2 linked regions of the Alligator mississippiensis genome follow. The protein of the gene in region 1 interacts with the protein of each later gene in a pairwise test. Links are inferred from orthologs where the notes say so. Each region holds a gene or a part of one and is shown on either strand. Other genes may lie near its edges.

Region 1 (8,085 bases):
ACTTTGGAATTATTTGTCTACTGTCTGCCTTTTTAAGGATTCCACAGAAACTTGTCTATTGTCAGCTCTAGGTGCTAGCAGCTGACAAGAAAAAAATCACAGCACTTTCAAAACATAATGAATGCTGTCAGCTTTCAACCTTGAAGGAAAAAAAGAAAACAATAATTGGGATCTGTTGCTAATCAAAGGGAATGATAAATATAAAGAGAATAGTTGTCCGATATCACTAAATATGAAGATCTTCATATATTGTTTTTCAGAGAGAGAGAGAAAAAAAAAAAAAAAACAGATTTGGAAACCCTGGCTTCAAAAAACAGATAAAAAACAGATGGAAACTCAATGTTATAGAGGACTGTCTTTTTCCCCTCTTACTGTTCCCTTTTGGCTGTTATCCGGTGTATCCAAAAGACCTCCAGAAAAAATTATGCCTGTCATACATGCTTCCCTACCAAGGGGAAAGTCTTCATCACTGACATTTACACTAAAGTAACAAGTATCACTGTTCCTGTTGCTTTAACTAGTTGCTCTCTTGAATGAAACTGTTTCAACAGCCATCATACATAAAAATGTAAAATGCATCTCTAGAAAGCTTGACAGATGGTGTTTTGAAGGATAATGCCAGGTATCTGGTGTGAATCCAACATTAGCATTCTCTACAGCTCCCACAGACAACACACCTTCATCGTTTTAAACATTCAGGTGCACTTAGATCAAGCAACACAGAGAAGAAACCAAAACAGAGTAAATTTACTCAGTCCTACTAGTTTTCTGAAATACAGATTTGGCACATATTGAAAACCCAGAAATAAACACCTCATATTTTTTCTTTGTTTCACTATACTTTGTACTTTCAATTCTTTCTTTCATGTGTTTTCTCTCACGTGCTCTCTCTCAGTACATATCTCCCCCTGCTGGGAAAATACCAAAATGCAAGGTGCAAGAATGCCCCTTTGAGAAATAAGAAATAAAAGGTTTATCATATTCACATTAGTATAACATCTATAAAAAAAGTACTGTAGTTATCTCAGCAGCAAGATAGCCAAGTATATTAAATGTGTCATTATTCATTCTGGATTTTCAGCTATCAAACAGAAGCACTCTATGAAACCTAGACTCAGTAACTTTGAGAATAATCAATAAATCATAAATCTAAGAAAGACAATATGAAGACTGCTGACCTAGAGGAAGCTCTTAATGCTAACATTACAATTTTTAAATGCTTTTATATAGCTTACAGACATAATTGACCTTTGGAAATTATTCCTAGGTTTTTAGGATAATTACATTTTTAATGTTTTAAAGGGGATCATTAAAGTTTGTTTGTTTGTTTTGTCTGATTTTTAATCTCAGCTTCATTTCTGGGCCAGTTAGAACATCTTGATTTACGCTTCATTGTCACTAGTTCTCCTTTATATTTGCATTCCAGTTTGACTGTATTTTAAATAAAGCAACTATATGCATGAGGAAAAGAAAGTACAAGGAGAGTTTAATTCATTGTATTTCTAAATATTTAAAGTGCTGTACATTAAGGTAGGACATAAATCAATAGGTATGTGACTTGTAAAAAAGGAGCAAATGATAAAGTTTTTAAAGTCTTCCCAGTTCCATAATATAGCTAACTCAAGTGCGTGAAATGCAGCTACATTACACACACTGATTGTTATAATGAGAACAAAATGTTATCTATACCGTTCTTTAGGTCACAGTACCCACCTAAAAGAAATGCAGCAAGTCCTTAATGAAATTATGTCATGAAACTGATAAACCATATCCGGTGAATACATGAAATAATAAAGCCAATGGAAAACAATGCTGCAGAATAAACATAATACTGAATTTAGTTGCTATCAATAAGCCCTAGTACCTCAAGACAGAAACCAAGACAGAATGAGTATAATGGGAAACTAACATCTGCCTTTGTGTAAATAAAATCAGGAGCCATGGAAGCCCTACCCCCAGAACCTACCCGACTGTAACGGCTCATTTATTCAATGAAACAATTTGCCCTTAATGAAAAAGCCATGAAGACAACCACTTTCCATAATACAAATAAAATAAACATACATACATACATACATACATATATATATATATATATATATATATAATAGATTTAGCTTTTAAGCTGGATGTTTGGTTCTATAAATAAGATCCTCAGTACTCTGCCAGCAGAACCTATTTGTAAGCAAGCTTCAGAAAGTATCAGTGAGTAAGAGAGGAAGGCTATCTTTATAATGAATGCTCTCTACTTTCCTAGGAGAGACAGACAAAATGTAGCTTGTACTCCGCAAAAGCAATGGCTTGCTCGTCATTGGCAAGTGGAGCTTCTACTAGAGAGAGCATGACATCGTCCACAGCGTGTCCTCATCCAGGGTTAAAAATATGCATCTAGCTGCCTCCCTACCCCCGTTTCAGTATCTCTACAGACAGCGGTGAGTGACTCGCTGGTACCCCTGTGCTTGAGAAATGCAGTGGAAATCCAAGCTACAGCTTGCATCCACAGGGACGCTGATGGGCAAGGGGCTGAGGTGGATTCACTTAAAGGAGCGGGAACCGAATCATAGAGAATGAGGGTTGGGAGGAACCTCAGGAAGGCATCTAGTCCAACCCCCTGCTCAAAGCAGAACCGTCCCCTACTAGATCATCCCAGCCAAGGCTTTGTCTAGCCGGGTCTTAAGGATGGAGACTCCACCACCTCTCTTGGTCGCCTGTTCCAGTGCTTTTCTGCTGCTTTTCTGCTCTCCTCGTGATGATGACGATGACAGTAACGACAGTAACAAGAAGCCCGCAAACACCTTTGCCCACTTGCGAAGTGGGGCTGCGTGGGGACACTGCACTTGGCGGCACCCGCTCCTGCTGGCGATGCCACCAGTCCCCCCCCCCACCGCCACCTCTGCCCAGCTCTCTCCCTCCAGGGAAGCCAAGGGCAGGGCTGCCCGGATGCCACCGGGGCGGGCAGAGGCTTGGCCGGGCTTACCTTCAGCCAGGAGGCGCATGGCGTGAACAAAGGACGGATCCAGGCTGTCTTTCTCTGCCATCAGCTCGGGCAGATATTTCTCCTGCTCCATAGCCCCGCCGCTGCCGCCGCCGCCGCGCCGCACTTCGGACCGGGCTCCGGGGGCTGCTCCGCGGGCGGAGGCTGGTGCCGGGCGCGGAGTCCCCTCGGCAGGGAGCGCGCGGGCCCGGGCCCCTCACTGCCCCATGCACCGCCGGCCGCCCCCGCCGCCCCGTCCCCACCCGTCTGCGCGACTACCGGCGCGGGCCCCTCCGGCTCTGCCGCGCTCGCCCCCTCCGCGCCGCGCTGCTCTCATAGCGCCGGCCTTAACTAGTGAGGCGGGAGCAAGATGCCCGCCCCGCCCCTTCTCCCCGCTCATTGGGCAGTGCGCTCTGGAAGGCGGAGCCCCGCCGGGCGCCTCTGCCACGCCATTGGCTGCGGCCCCTGCCTGGACGGCGGAGTGGCAGGGCGCGCCGCGGGCAGGCTGGGCGGGGCGGGGCGGGGCGGGGCGGGGGAGGCAGCTGCTGCTGTCCAGGGTGCTGAAGCGGCGGGAAAGGACTGAGCTGGGCCGGAGGCGGCGGCGGCGCTCCCCGCACAGCGCGGGAGCCCAGGGCCGCTCCGCCGCGCTGCACGAGGCTGCCCAGGGCCCGTCGCAGCGCCCCGAGCTTTCTGCTCGAGCTGAACTTGCGCCGCTGCACGGAGCCGCCGAGGCGGAGGGGTCTCGGGCTCCCTCCTCGCCCGGCTCTGAGGAGCGCCCCGGCCGGCTTCGGGCACGACCTGCCCTCAGCGGGGCCAAGAGCTTCGCTTCCAGCCACCGTCTCCCATCGCTGTCAGGGAGTCACCCCCCCGCGCGCGCACACACACGAGTATTAACACACTCGTTAATACCGTCCTTTAAGACTAAACAAAGCATTCCCCGAGACATTTATATATGATATATGTATATATCATATACACATCAAGTAGTATATCTATCTATCATATTATATATGTAGATGTAAGATAGATAGATAGATAGATATAAAATACGATGTACGTAAAATATGTATATAATATATAAATATATACACACACAGATGCAGTCATATATATAATAAATTCTATACTCGATTATATAGTTATTATATTTTATATAATAAACACAGATATACATATATACACATATATCATAAATTATATGGTAGATTATTTATTATGTTTTATATAATAAGTTACATGCACAGGTATATACATATATACATAAATCACACATTACATGGTAGATTATATATTATAGTTTATATAATAAATTAAACATGCATATAAACATGTATCATAAATTATATAGTAGATTAATTTATTATATAAAATATATAAACACACAGGTATACACATATATCATAAATTCTATAGTAGAGTATATATTTATGATATTTTCTGTAATAAACACACAGATATACATATATATCATACATTCTGTAATAGATATATATATTTATTATACTTTATATAATACACACATATACATCTATACATAAATTATATAATACTTGATATATTTATTACATTGATATAATATATTAAATATGTATCATGCTATATGACAACATGGAATACATTCATAATAAAATAATCAATCAATTGAATCAATAAATTAGATGCCCAATCCATAGTTCATCTTTAAATATATTTAAATATAAATATAGCCATAGTTGGAATATAAATATGTTCTTCTGGACGGGTTAAGAAACTTCATTGCTCAAGAGAGCACCCTCAGTAGAGCATGTTCCCTGAGCTCCTGTTCTAGTCTAGGACTCTGGTTTGTCTTATTAACATATTGATCCTGATGATCACATGAAATGAAATATTTATCCCCATTCTCTACCTCGAATGGCCCGGGGCTGCCTGTGCAGCAGCTCTTGTAGCCTTGGCTTGTGAGAGAGATGAAGAGGGAGGCAGCAAGCACCCAGCTCTGGCCGTGGCTCTGGGTTGAGCGGGCTCTGAAGAAATTACAGCTGCAGTGACAGAGAAGCTGGATCTGTGATGCTATCAAACCCAGCCAGAAAGATTCACAGCAGCTTTCATTCCATTTCCCCCTCAGTGTGTCCTATAATTGAGGGGTTACACATGTTGACAAGAACAGATAGAAAATGCCACACTGGGAAATGGGCTAGTAGTGTTTTAGAATCCTTCTCGAGGAAAAATAAGTGAAATTATTGGAGAGCAAAGTTTTCTGCAGAGACAGAAAGGGGGGGAGGGGAGGGGAGGGGAGGGGAGTGGAGAGATGTTTAATTTGAACAGCTTGTTGGTGGATAATAGGACCGTGCTAACAGAGGTGGCCAATCTCATCAGCAATCAGTCATTTTTATTTCAGATTGGAACAAGTAAGAGGGAGGGAAAAATGAGTTTTCCTCTTTTAAATAATAAACTAGCATACAGCCAGACAGTGAATGCCTCTCCTACTGATATTTACCCACATGAGTAGTCTTTATTTAGCCTGGAGGAAGATGGCATTTCATGGTGAGTGCTTCCTGAAGGAACACCACGTTACAGCTATAAAGCTGTAGGTAGCTGGGAAGCTTCCTGCCTGAAACAGCACCTCTCTTCTCATGTTTCTCACATACAGGAACAATCATCAGAACCGCTCCAAATGGTGCCTCCTTTCTTAAACCAAAAAGAGGGGGCTGGTGGAAATGTCTTGCAAGGGGCTGTCAGCAGTAACTTCAGTTTCCCACTTTCAGAAATAGAGCTTCTCAGTGGTTCTCAGCCCTCTTAGGCTGACTTTTTGAAAGGCTCAAGGCACACCCAAGAAAATGCCAGCTCTTGGTTTTCACTCATTTTTTGACAACAATGAAGTAAAAGAGCAATTCTTCTGTTGCAAAGAACTCAGAAAGGCCACAACAGCTCAGAATTTTTTATCACTAAATTGCTGTATGGAAACTCTAAGTTTCTCTTGTGAATTATATTTGCACACCTAATACTGTCAACTATGTAGTATTCTGCAACACCTCTGAAAGGAGCTCAAGGCACCCCAGGGTACCACAGAAGCCAACATGAGAACATGGCTTAGGTCTTTTAGCATTCAGGTCACACTGAAAGGCTCATCTGTGGGTCAGCCTCCTTTGAAAAGTTAGTTTTACTGGAAGCGATCTGCAGCAGACTTGCATACTTGTCGGTTACTCAGTTTTACCAGTTTATTGGAAGGCCTTGGCCAGATACACTTTATTTTTATTTTGAATATTACAGTAAAGCTATATATTTAAATGTTTCTAACATTATATGCTATATCCTCTTATGCATTAGAGTGGGCTTTATCCAGTTAATCAATTTTGTCAGTGTAGAGAATACAGAAAGTGACATCTTTTATTGCTCTTTACATCAAAGTGACCCATGACAATTTTTTCAAGGGTCTCATTTTCAAATTCTAGAGCTCAAGCCACATTGAATTAAAATGATACTTTGGCTGATAAGTTACAAATGCTTTTGATAACTGTATTTATTGGTCAAATATGAAATACAGACCTTTGGTGATGTGATGGATGACTTCTTTGCAAGCTGTAAATGGGATGTTTGTTATGCCCACTAAAAACTGAAGACACCTTTTACAAATGTTTTATTTGAATGATTGAGCCAAATTATAAGGTCATGTTAAAGGAATACTCTCCTGGGTGAAAATTTTATAAGTAGTCATTAAAAGTGACAAAATGTAAAACAAACACACCAAAAAAACACCCAAAACTATTTAAGCAGTAAAAACTTTCTCTCTACCTTCCTGCAGGGTCAACGCATAGGGGGTGCATGTGGTGGTGCACCCCCTACAAAAAGGCACAGCCAACACAGTCAGCAGTGCCTGCAGGTGGTCACTGCTTGGCACCTTGCCACTGCCACTGCTGGCGGCATCTGTGGGCAGGCTGTGATCCCCGCTGGACACTGCAGAAGCTGCTGGCAGCGTCTACGGGCAGTCTCCAACCCCTGGTTGGCGCTTGCCACCCTCCCCCACTTACCGCTGCCGTGATCCTGCTGCCATCCCCCCACAGCCACCAGAGACATGCATAGTTCATGACTTCCTGTATCTTTAGCGACACTAAGTGTTATTAATTTTTAATAATTTATTCTTAAGGACTTGTTGCTTGCTTTTTGATTTCAAGAAACTATATGAGAGCAAGCCTTTTGATGGGTACAGCCAAATATAAAAAGACATAGTTCTTACATTTGGCAAGTAGCACAGCTCCAAAAAAACCCTGATTATGACAGGTGAATCTTAGTGCATCTACCTCTGAACTCAGTATTGTGTCCTGTTGTAATAACTTTGAACGTAAAGGGCACTATCAGTGTGTAATTTCATAAATATTTCTAAACTTACTGGCACATGTTAATATATATTATATTATATATATATATATATATATATATATATATATATATATATATGGCCGCTGCAACAGAGTTACTCCCCTCTACTACTGCCTGCTGCAGGCTCAGGCAGAAGAGCTGGCTCCCCACTGCTGCGTGTGCTCTCAGGACGCAGTGGGGACCTGCACTCCCCAGATCTGTGTGGGGGTAGGAGTGAGATGCCCACCGTGGGCTTGGGCACCCACCCTGCTGCCATCCCCTGGGGCCTCCTCAGACTAGCATGTGCGACCCAGAGCTGCAGGAACAGCAGAGCTGTGCAGGAAAGTTATTTGCCACTGTGAGCTCTGTGCTGTCTTGGCGATGCATCCTCCATGTGAAGTGAGGGAAGTGGCATGGGTGTGTGCTGCTCACTGCAGCCCTATGTGCAGGGGATGCATCGACAGGGCAGTACGGAGCAAGCAGCGGCAAGCAGCTTTCTTGTGTGGCTCCACTGCCCCAGCGGCGCTGGGTTGCACCCACTGGGCTGCAGAGGCCCCGGGGAGGGCAGAAGGGCAGAAACCTAAGTCTGCAGCAGGCAGTGCACACCCACGCCCACCCCACACAGATCTGGGGGTGCAGGTCTCCCCTGTCCTGGTGACATGTCCTCCATGTGTGGGACTGCAGTGAGTAGCACAACCACACACGGCTTCCCCTGTTGCCCCTGCACATGGAGGATGCATTGCCAAGGTAGCGTGGATCTTGTAGCAGCAAGGAGATCC
Region 2 (8,189 bases), on another chromosome or scaffold:
AGAACTGATAATACTACAAAAGTGGAAATACAAGTAGATGTACTACACAATAACGATTTCAGCGAAGCTCCAAAAATCTTTATAAATACAGCCATTGGAAGGACGATCTTGAGTCAGGAAGGATTTTTACTCGTTGTGTGTAGCTGAGGACAAGAAGCAGGCACAATTGTAAAGGCACTGAAGCATAGACAAGTTCCAGCATTTCACTCCCTTGTATTATTTCAGAGGCTAGTGCTACTTCATTAGGTTTTAAAAAGAGAATTTCCCCCACCCGTGATAATGCTTGTTAGGGCATTGGTTTTGCCGTTTTCTCCAGTTTGAGGAAGGTGAGCATTTAATACTTGCTTTGCCTTAGATCCTAGCAAGTCCTACACATGCATTACGATTAGGAATTTAAAATGGCACAACCACATCCAAGGCCTGACAAATAGACTGGTTCTTATGGGCAAGAACAAAAACAGGTGATATGCTCCGACCTGAGGCTTACAGTATTTCCAGACTTCAATATGAGGTCAAGAGGTCGAGTTCCTACAGCAATGTACTTTCCATTCCCTTTTGAACTAAGACTTACCATAACTGTCATAGCTGTCTCTATAGGAGCCTCCTGAAGATCTGTCACCATATCCACCACCTTGACTCCTGCTGATTGAAAAACAAGCACCTGTTTTTTAAAAGTCACCTGAACTCCTGCATATTAAAGCTATTGTGCTGTTTCTGTCTGGAGTAAATTTACATCCCCTCTGAGGTTAATTATTTCACATGTGCTTAGGACAGTTGTTGGCCTTCCACATGCACTTACCTGCTGCTGTAATAATCTCTGGAGCCACTGTATCCCCCACTTCTGGAGTCAAATCTGCTTCCACCATAGCCTCTGTCTCCACCTCCTTTGAAAACATACAAAGAGCAGTATTAGTACCTTGAATTCGGCACTTAACAAAGTCAGTTGCTGCAAGTCAGCAATACTGACTCACCCCTAGAAAAACCACGGCCCCGACCTCTGCCTCCACGGAAAAAGCCTCTGCCTCCAGCTGAACCCCCTCTGTATCCTCGAGATCTGTTTTCTGATGATTTACCGGCCTGGTCCACTCTGATCTGGCGCCCATCAACAGACTGAAAATAGAAAAACCCCAAATCAGTACTTCAATGTCCTGCAACACACTTTGAAGGCATCAAGTGCTAAATAATCTATCATTTTTATCAATAGATGGCTCTTTCACATGAAGTAACCAACCAACCAACCAACCAACCAACCGCCATCAAATTAAAGAAAGCCAAGACACTTTTAGAAAGCAAGCAGGATTCATCTACAACTTGCACATTTGTTTTCACACCTGCAGTAAATATTTAGTTCTTCAATCTAACTTTTAATTCCAAATTCACATCTTACAGGACCATTTAAATACAAAATGGTTAATAGCTTTAAAAAGCAGGAAAATGGACACAGGCCTCCCCAAATCTGCCCCCACCCCACATCAGGGAAAAAGGACACAAATCTATTTACCTTTCCATTCATAGCCATCATCGCATCTTTAGCGTCATCTATGTTCTCAAAGGTGACAAACCCAAAGCCTCTTGATCTTTGGGTTTCTCTGTCTTTCACCACCACAACTGAAAAAGGGGGGGAAAAAATTACATTGCACAAACCCATTATATACCACAGAAAAATTAAAGTTCTCAGTCTGCAGTTTTACAGTTTTAATCTTACCTTCAGATATCTGTCCGTATTTGGAAAATACTTGTTCCAATGACTGTTCATTGGTGTCAAAACTCAGTCCACCAACAAAAAGCTTTCCCTCATCTGATGCCATTTTGATCTGCAGAGGGGAAAAAAAAAGAAGTGCATCAGTCCATCTCTGAAGCAAATTACAAGTTTGGTTGGGGCGGGGCCTACATGCCCCCCACCCCCCAGGGGAGAGATTAGCTCGGAGAGTGAACACAGGCTCAAGGAAGCCTATTAAATAAGTCTCCAGTGCAGATGATCTAGAAGGCACAACTTCTGCCCGACTTCAGTCTAAAGCTACCTCTACCACGACCCCAGCTGCCAGTCCAGCATCAAGCTGTTACCTCCACTCAAAAAACTAAAGCTGAAATACAAATCTATCCACAAGCTTCATTTACAAGTGTTATGCACTTGGTAGGATGACACTGCCCATTTACAAAACAAATATTAGGATTTCTATAACCGGTTTTTTCTTTAAAAAAAAGTTTAAAAGCCACCCAGGGCTGATCAAACAAGGCATTATAACCAGGGATGCCCATTTTCTCCGATTAAAACAAATCCCCAGCTTTCAGATTTAGAAGAGGAACCCCAAATCCACATTTTTCTGCAATTAGAACAAAGCAGCACTAAAATATAGACAAAAGGAAGTGCTGCTATAAATCTAATTGTGGAAAAAATTGGGTTTTTTTTTTAATCTGAAATTGGGGTGGGGTTTTGGGGGGTTTTTTTACATCAGAGAAAGCCAGAATCCCTGCTTATGAGACCTGCACACTACCCAAGCACCCTTCTGATAGAGGCAGGGATCCCAGAGATCCTCATGCCTCAGCAGTCCAAGCAGTTCCTGAATTCATCCCATGCTGTTCAGGCTCCAAATCTAATACAAGGCAACAGACCACCCCAGGCTTCCCTTCGCAGCGCTTGTCCCACCTATAGACCAGGGCCCCGGGACCCAATCAGGATCCCAAGCCACAGGCAGAGCAAGCCTTTGTTGTGCGCGTGCACAGCGCCGCCTCCCCCGCGCATGCGCGTTGCACGCAGCCAAGTCATGGCACCGCCCTCCTGGCCCCGCCCACTTGGCGCATGCGCACTGCGGCCCGCGTGTCCCCGCCGCCATTTTGCGCCAAGCGAGTGCAGCCGCCATTTTGTTTCTAGAACAAACCTCCCCCCCACCCCCACCGACGGTTGGGACAGCGCGGCTGGCCCTGCGCGGCCTACCCACCGCCACGGGGAAGGGGAAACTGAGGGCAGGGCCCAGGCCGAAGGGCCCTCACAGAGGAAACCAGTAGCTCGCACGATGCAGCTAGCTTGCTTGCTTGCTTGCTTGCTTGCTTGCTTGCCTGCCTGCCTCCCCTCCCCTCCAACCTCACCTCGCCACCCCCGTCTCCCCTCCCCCTACCTGTATCGGCGGGGACGCGAACCACTCAGCACCTCCAAACCCCAGCGCGAAGTACGCCGAGGCGGACGGAGACGCTGTTTATATATGTCCCCTCCGACCCCGCCTCTCTCATAAATATGCAAACGAGACCCGGCTCGGTTGCGAGGCAGCGGCACGCCCCTCCTCCTCGCCCCGCTGCCCTGATTGGGCAGTGTCACATTAATATTCATCAAAAATCCGTGCCCACCCCACGTGGGGGCGGAGCGCGGCCGGGAAGCACTGATTGGGCGGAGAGGGAGGAGGGCGGGGTGCCGTTGGCAGAGGAGAAGGGGGGAGAAGAGAGTGCTGAGTTCCAATTGGCTCCGGCCCGCGCCGCAGTCCCCCGAGGCGGGAAAGGGGGCGGGGCCGCGGTGCCCTAGTTTCGCGCCTCCTCGGCAATGCGGCTCCCGCCACTGCTGCAGACAAAGGGGCGGTTGAGGGGGCGGGCGCCATCTTGGATCCAGGCAGCTTCTTCCCGAGGGCCGTTCCCCCCCTTCGCAGCCCCACACAACCCCCCTGGACGTGTCCCCAAGCACCGTCCCCACCTCGCTGCTATGGCCCCTCACGCGAATCACTTCACGCGCCCACCACGCTTCTCCCTGTGCCGTCTTCTCGCGGCCACCACTCCCCTCAGTCTCCTCACGGCGCCACGTCTCCCCTCCGTCTCCTCAGCTGCCCCGTCCTCCCTCCGAAGAGACCCATCCTGTTCCCAGGTGTATTTCCCACACCACGCAAGACGTGCCTCAGGCCTCGCTGCCCGGAGTCTCCCCCAAAATGCGACTGTCCTCATGGGTCCGATCCCCCCCACGGCGCCCCTTCAGGTGGCCGTCGGGGAGGACGTCCCGGTTTTCTGCCGCTCCGTCCTCGCTCGATACGGAAACGTCCTCTATTTTTAAAAATAAAGGCGTCCGGTTTCGTATCGATTGAGGACGGAAGACACCTGGGCTGTCCTCCATGATGGCCACCCTACGGTTCGCCGTGGCAGGGAAGAGTTGCCGAGGGGCGTCAGGGCCCAATTCGCTCTCTCGCACCCGTGAGCCTGGGCAAGATGGAGCCCGTGGACGGCAACGCTCGCGGCCTTCGAACCCGCGACAAGGAGCGAGGAGGGAGGCGGCGGGTCGGGAGGGGAACGGCCGCTCGGGATGCCTGTGAAGCAGGCCTGCCCCGCACGTGGGCCCGGCGGGAGGAGCTGATTTACAACGCGGTGCCGTGTCATGGCGGCGTTGCTCCGCCTGTAACGCCGGTGCACGTCGCGGGGACGGGCCTGGTCCGAGCGTTACGAGCCGGTCCCGTCCAGCGACTTGTGCGGCGGTAGCTCCACACCGCGGCCCTTACACACGCATGTGCGAGGCTGGGCAGGCGGACGCCCCCCCTCCCCCTCCGCAGTGCACAGCGATGCCGTCCTGGCTTCCGAGCGGGTTTTCTCCGCCGGGTTTTCAACGCCCCACTTCCTTGCTGAGAGGAGGAGGTTTGCATGGGAAAAATTCCCGTATGCAAATTGTGGAAACCAGCTGTCCTACACACACACACACACACGCAGGCACACACATATCCCCCGTGGGAATGCACATGTATAACGCACGAAATAACGAATCGCTTGATGTTGCGCTCTCTCTTACGGCGGCGTCCTCCGCTCAAAACGCAGCCGCGCCGCGCGAAGCCGTGTCGCCGCCGAGGGGGAGACGGCGCCTTCTTCGGATGAGGCTCGCGATGCGAAAGAAACCTCAACCTCGTTTCCTTCGCAGTTCAGATCACTCTCTCTGTCTCTCTTCCTCCTCCACCCTCAACAGCCGTTAGGGGTCAAAACTGGAGAGGAGAAAAACAACCGAGGGCTTCCCTATGCACTTCCGACGTGTTTACTCTCAAATGTCAGAGCTGGCTTCCTAAAGGGTACTGAAACAAAAGCAGCAAAAGGAACCGTAGCCATATTCAAATAAGTCGTCTGCCCACAGCTGTTATCTAAAATAACGAGCGTTCGTTTTCTGTACTCGTCACGGGAGGGAAATTGGTCTTTTCTGCCTTGATTTGACATTGTGCACGTGTGAGCTGCGAGCAAAAAAACCCCCCAAAACCGGGGGGGTGGGGGGGGGAATTCCTCGCTGCAAACTTGCTCCGTCTTACACGGTCGCGAGCGGCTTCTCCACGTAGGGACGATAAAACAAAACGCTGGAGAAACTTTCTTCCCCAAACCAAACATGCAAACATGGTGGTTTCACTTCTTCTTGGCAAAACTTCCCTGTAGAAACCAGTCTGCAGCTCTCGTACGGTGGGTGCCAAGGGATCATGTATCCCGACAAATGCACAGCAAAAACAACAGTCACCCCTCTTTGACAGTAAAGCAGTCTATAAAATAATTACCGCTGAAGCAGTTCTCTTAATAAACGAATAACAAATGTGGGATGATGCCTGCTCATTATTGTGCATGTTTGCTTGCTGCTTCATTTGCAGACCTCATTCATTCCCCCCCCCCCCCCCCCCCCCCCCCCGTCTTGGGTGCAAATTAGCAAGGGCATGTCATCAAAATAACACATTTTATACACATGCTGTTGGGGCTTCAGTGTATCTGGGAAGCTTTGCAATAAAACAAAAGACTATACAATAAAAGGTCTTCACTCAGTGATTTCAAACGGCAAGCTACTGTTAAAGGGCAGCACGACATGGTGCACTGCTGCAAACGCAGTCCACTTGCTTGCTGCTGATTTTAAATGCCAGGTATATGTTTTGAACGGTGATATCAACTCTCAGTTGCAAACGTGGACGCATCGTGGGTTATTTTTAATCCCCCCTGATACTGCAGCAGGTTTCATGGTCCATGGGTTTTTAAAAAAAAAGGACAGGGATATCCAGAGCTTGCTTGGATCTGAAGATCAATTTTTGTCCTTGAAGGAGGAAGAGAAGGGGGAAAAAAATCCCAAGCCAGCCACGCAGCCCTGAGCCTGAATCCCTAGCAGCCCTGCTTTGATTAAATTAGAGAGGCATTAACATAAGCATTTCTGGTTCACAATGAGGCCAGATAAAGTGACCTTGAAGTGTGGAGCCATTTTAGCAGCGGGGATAAAGAACAAGTCACTGGCTGGGAGTGCAGAGCCCGAGAGCCATCTCTGGCCAGGGACAGGGGCGGTATGAAAAGGAAGAAGCAATTTTATTATTTATTTTAAAACAACTTTTTTTTGCGTTACTGTTGCTCCCAGTAGAAAACTGACCCGGATTCGATTCCTCTGACGTGCCTGATGTTTACTTTACAACTACAGCTCAGTGCCCGGCCTTCCCATATTTGCTCCGTCTCCGGTTGCAAGGGGTAGATCCTCAGTTTACACAGATTCATAGATGCTGGAAGGGACCTTGCCGGGTCCAGTCCCCTGCTCTAGGGCAGGAAAGACCTCGCTCCGTGAGCATAGCTGGACATCCACACCTTGCCATGTGATTGATTCCTCCTCTCCTTTCAACGCCAGTGCAAGGGGGGCTGCAGTAGGATCTGCATCGAACCCCCCAAAATGAAGGACCTGATTCTGCTCTCTCTGACATGCGAATAAGGACGGTTTCAGGGTCACGCTGCTAAAACCAGATCAGCCAGACCGCATCTTTCCAGGCCCCATCCTTGCCTTGCCCCCGTTCTTGCATTCCCAAGAGGCTTCATTTGCTCTACATCCTCTGATTCCCATCTAGCTGATCCAGGGCATTAGTAATAGCATATGTCTCCTGAGCTTGTAAACAAGTCTTTTGCAGCAGTCATATGCTCCGAGCCTTCACCTCCTTGGCGCTGCAATGAGTTCTTGTTTCACACAATTGGCACCTGGAGCTATTCGTTTCAGGAAGATCTCTTAATACATGTCAGGGCTGCATCACAAGACATTGATAGATCTCTGTGACATTAGAGCTGACAGCGGCGCCGGGAGAGCATCTCAAACATTTGCCAGCCCCGCAAACTTCCTATATTGTCAGGGAATTAACTACCTGCTGAAAAGTAACGTATGCACCATTTATATGTAATTAGTTAATATTTCTATAATAGCGGCTGACATTTACACAGCAGTTTTCAGCCCCAGATCACAAAATAGCTGACAAACTAAATGGCAAATACATAGTGCAAAATTAACTTTACCAGCGCTGCGGTGCATCTGTCTGCGGTGGGCACTCTGTTAAATCAAACTACCAAACATTTTAGGGCTTGGAGGATATTTACCTTCCCCGGCTGAGATAAACTCTAATTACCATTCGATTGCCCAATGAGAAATCACTGCAGCCACAACAAACCTAATGCAGTGGAAGAGCCACTGGATCTGTCATGAATAGAAACAGTCTTCATAGCCTATCAGCGCTTCAAAGCAGAGACCGTATCTTCCTATGTGGTTGCACAGCACCTGAGATGATACACCCCTGATAATAAATCCCCTGATAACACCGCGATTGCATTTGCACCTAAAAAGTCATCCCTGATAGCACATCGGTCCTTAACACCACGGTGGGAGAGGTCATAAAGGCGTGCTGGGATGATCTTTATTTCCTCACCTTCGTCCCCTGCCATGGACCACAGCTCCCCAAATCTCGTGACTACCCCAGCGCCCACTGAAGCCAGGGGCTCCTTGTTATAAGGAAGAGCATGAACGATTTACTCATAGGCCCCGATTCCTGCAGCACTGTAGCTTTCCTCAAGGTCTCTCTCCTTTAGAAGTATTTGCCTTTTTACATGGGGGTACTTCCATACGAAGATACCACGCATCATTCATGCCTATTTTACGGAGGATAGAAGCACGTGGCCATGTCTCGCTCAGCAGATCATTACTTCTTCCATTAGCCCATGCCGCATCCTCACTTAAGGGCTGTCTGTACTCGGTGTTCGGATTCAAGCTTTGGACAGCCGGAAGTTTTCACGGCTGTAGAGAGGTGGAAAACATAGTCTGCTGATACGGGTTTTCTCTACACTTTAAATCACGGCATCTCTCAGCCGTATGAATTAAACATGCCTACCTTTAACATCTCTCCCCCTGCAAATATAGCATGTGGGCTCACTCTTGGGATGGGAGACTAAGAAAAGTGCAGAAATGCACCTTGACT

Evidence for each region. The genes of interacting proteins can lie anywhere in the genome.
Region 2: the proteins of KHDRBS2 (region 1) and CIRBP interact in binary tests that used the Homo sapiens proteins (3 or more experiments, as listed by UniProt). The two-hybrid records come from large-scale screens. The link is inferred for Alligator mississippiensis from reciprocal best matches to the Homo sapiens genes KHDRBS2 and CIRBP.

What each region holds. Positions count from the first base shown.
Region 1 is NC_081824.1:53,082,331-53,090,415, forward strand, and holds the start of KHDRBS2 (KH domain-containing, RNA-binding, signal transduction-associated protein 2), read right to left. Parts: upstream 3,212-8,085; 5' UTR 3,069-3,211; coding exon 2,978-3,068; intron 1-2,977. UniProt on the Homo sapiens protein: RNA-binding protein that plays a role in the regulation of alternative splicing and influences mRNA splice site selection and exon inclusion. Binds both poly(A) and poly(U) homopolymers. Phosphorylation by PTK6 inhibits its RNA-binding ability.
Region 2 is NC_081839.1:2,680,925-2,689,113, forward strand, and holds the start of CIRBP (cold-inducible RNA-binding protein), read right to left. Parts: upstream 3,200-8,189; 5' UTR 3,117-3,199; intron 1,815-3,116; 5' UTR 1,809-1,814; coding exon 1,706-1,808; intron 1,609-1,705; coding exon 1,502-1,608; intron 1,111-1,501; coding exon 996-1,110; coding exon of another isoform or gene 972-995; intron 885-971; coding exon 800-884; intron 643-799; coding exon 572-642; intron 144-571; coding exon 127-143; 3' UTR 1-126. UniProt on the Homo sapiens protein: Cold-inducible mRNA binding protein that plays a protective role in the genotoxic stress response by stabilizing transcripts of genes involved in cell survival. Acts as a translational activator.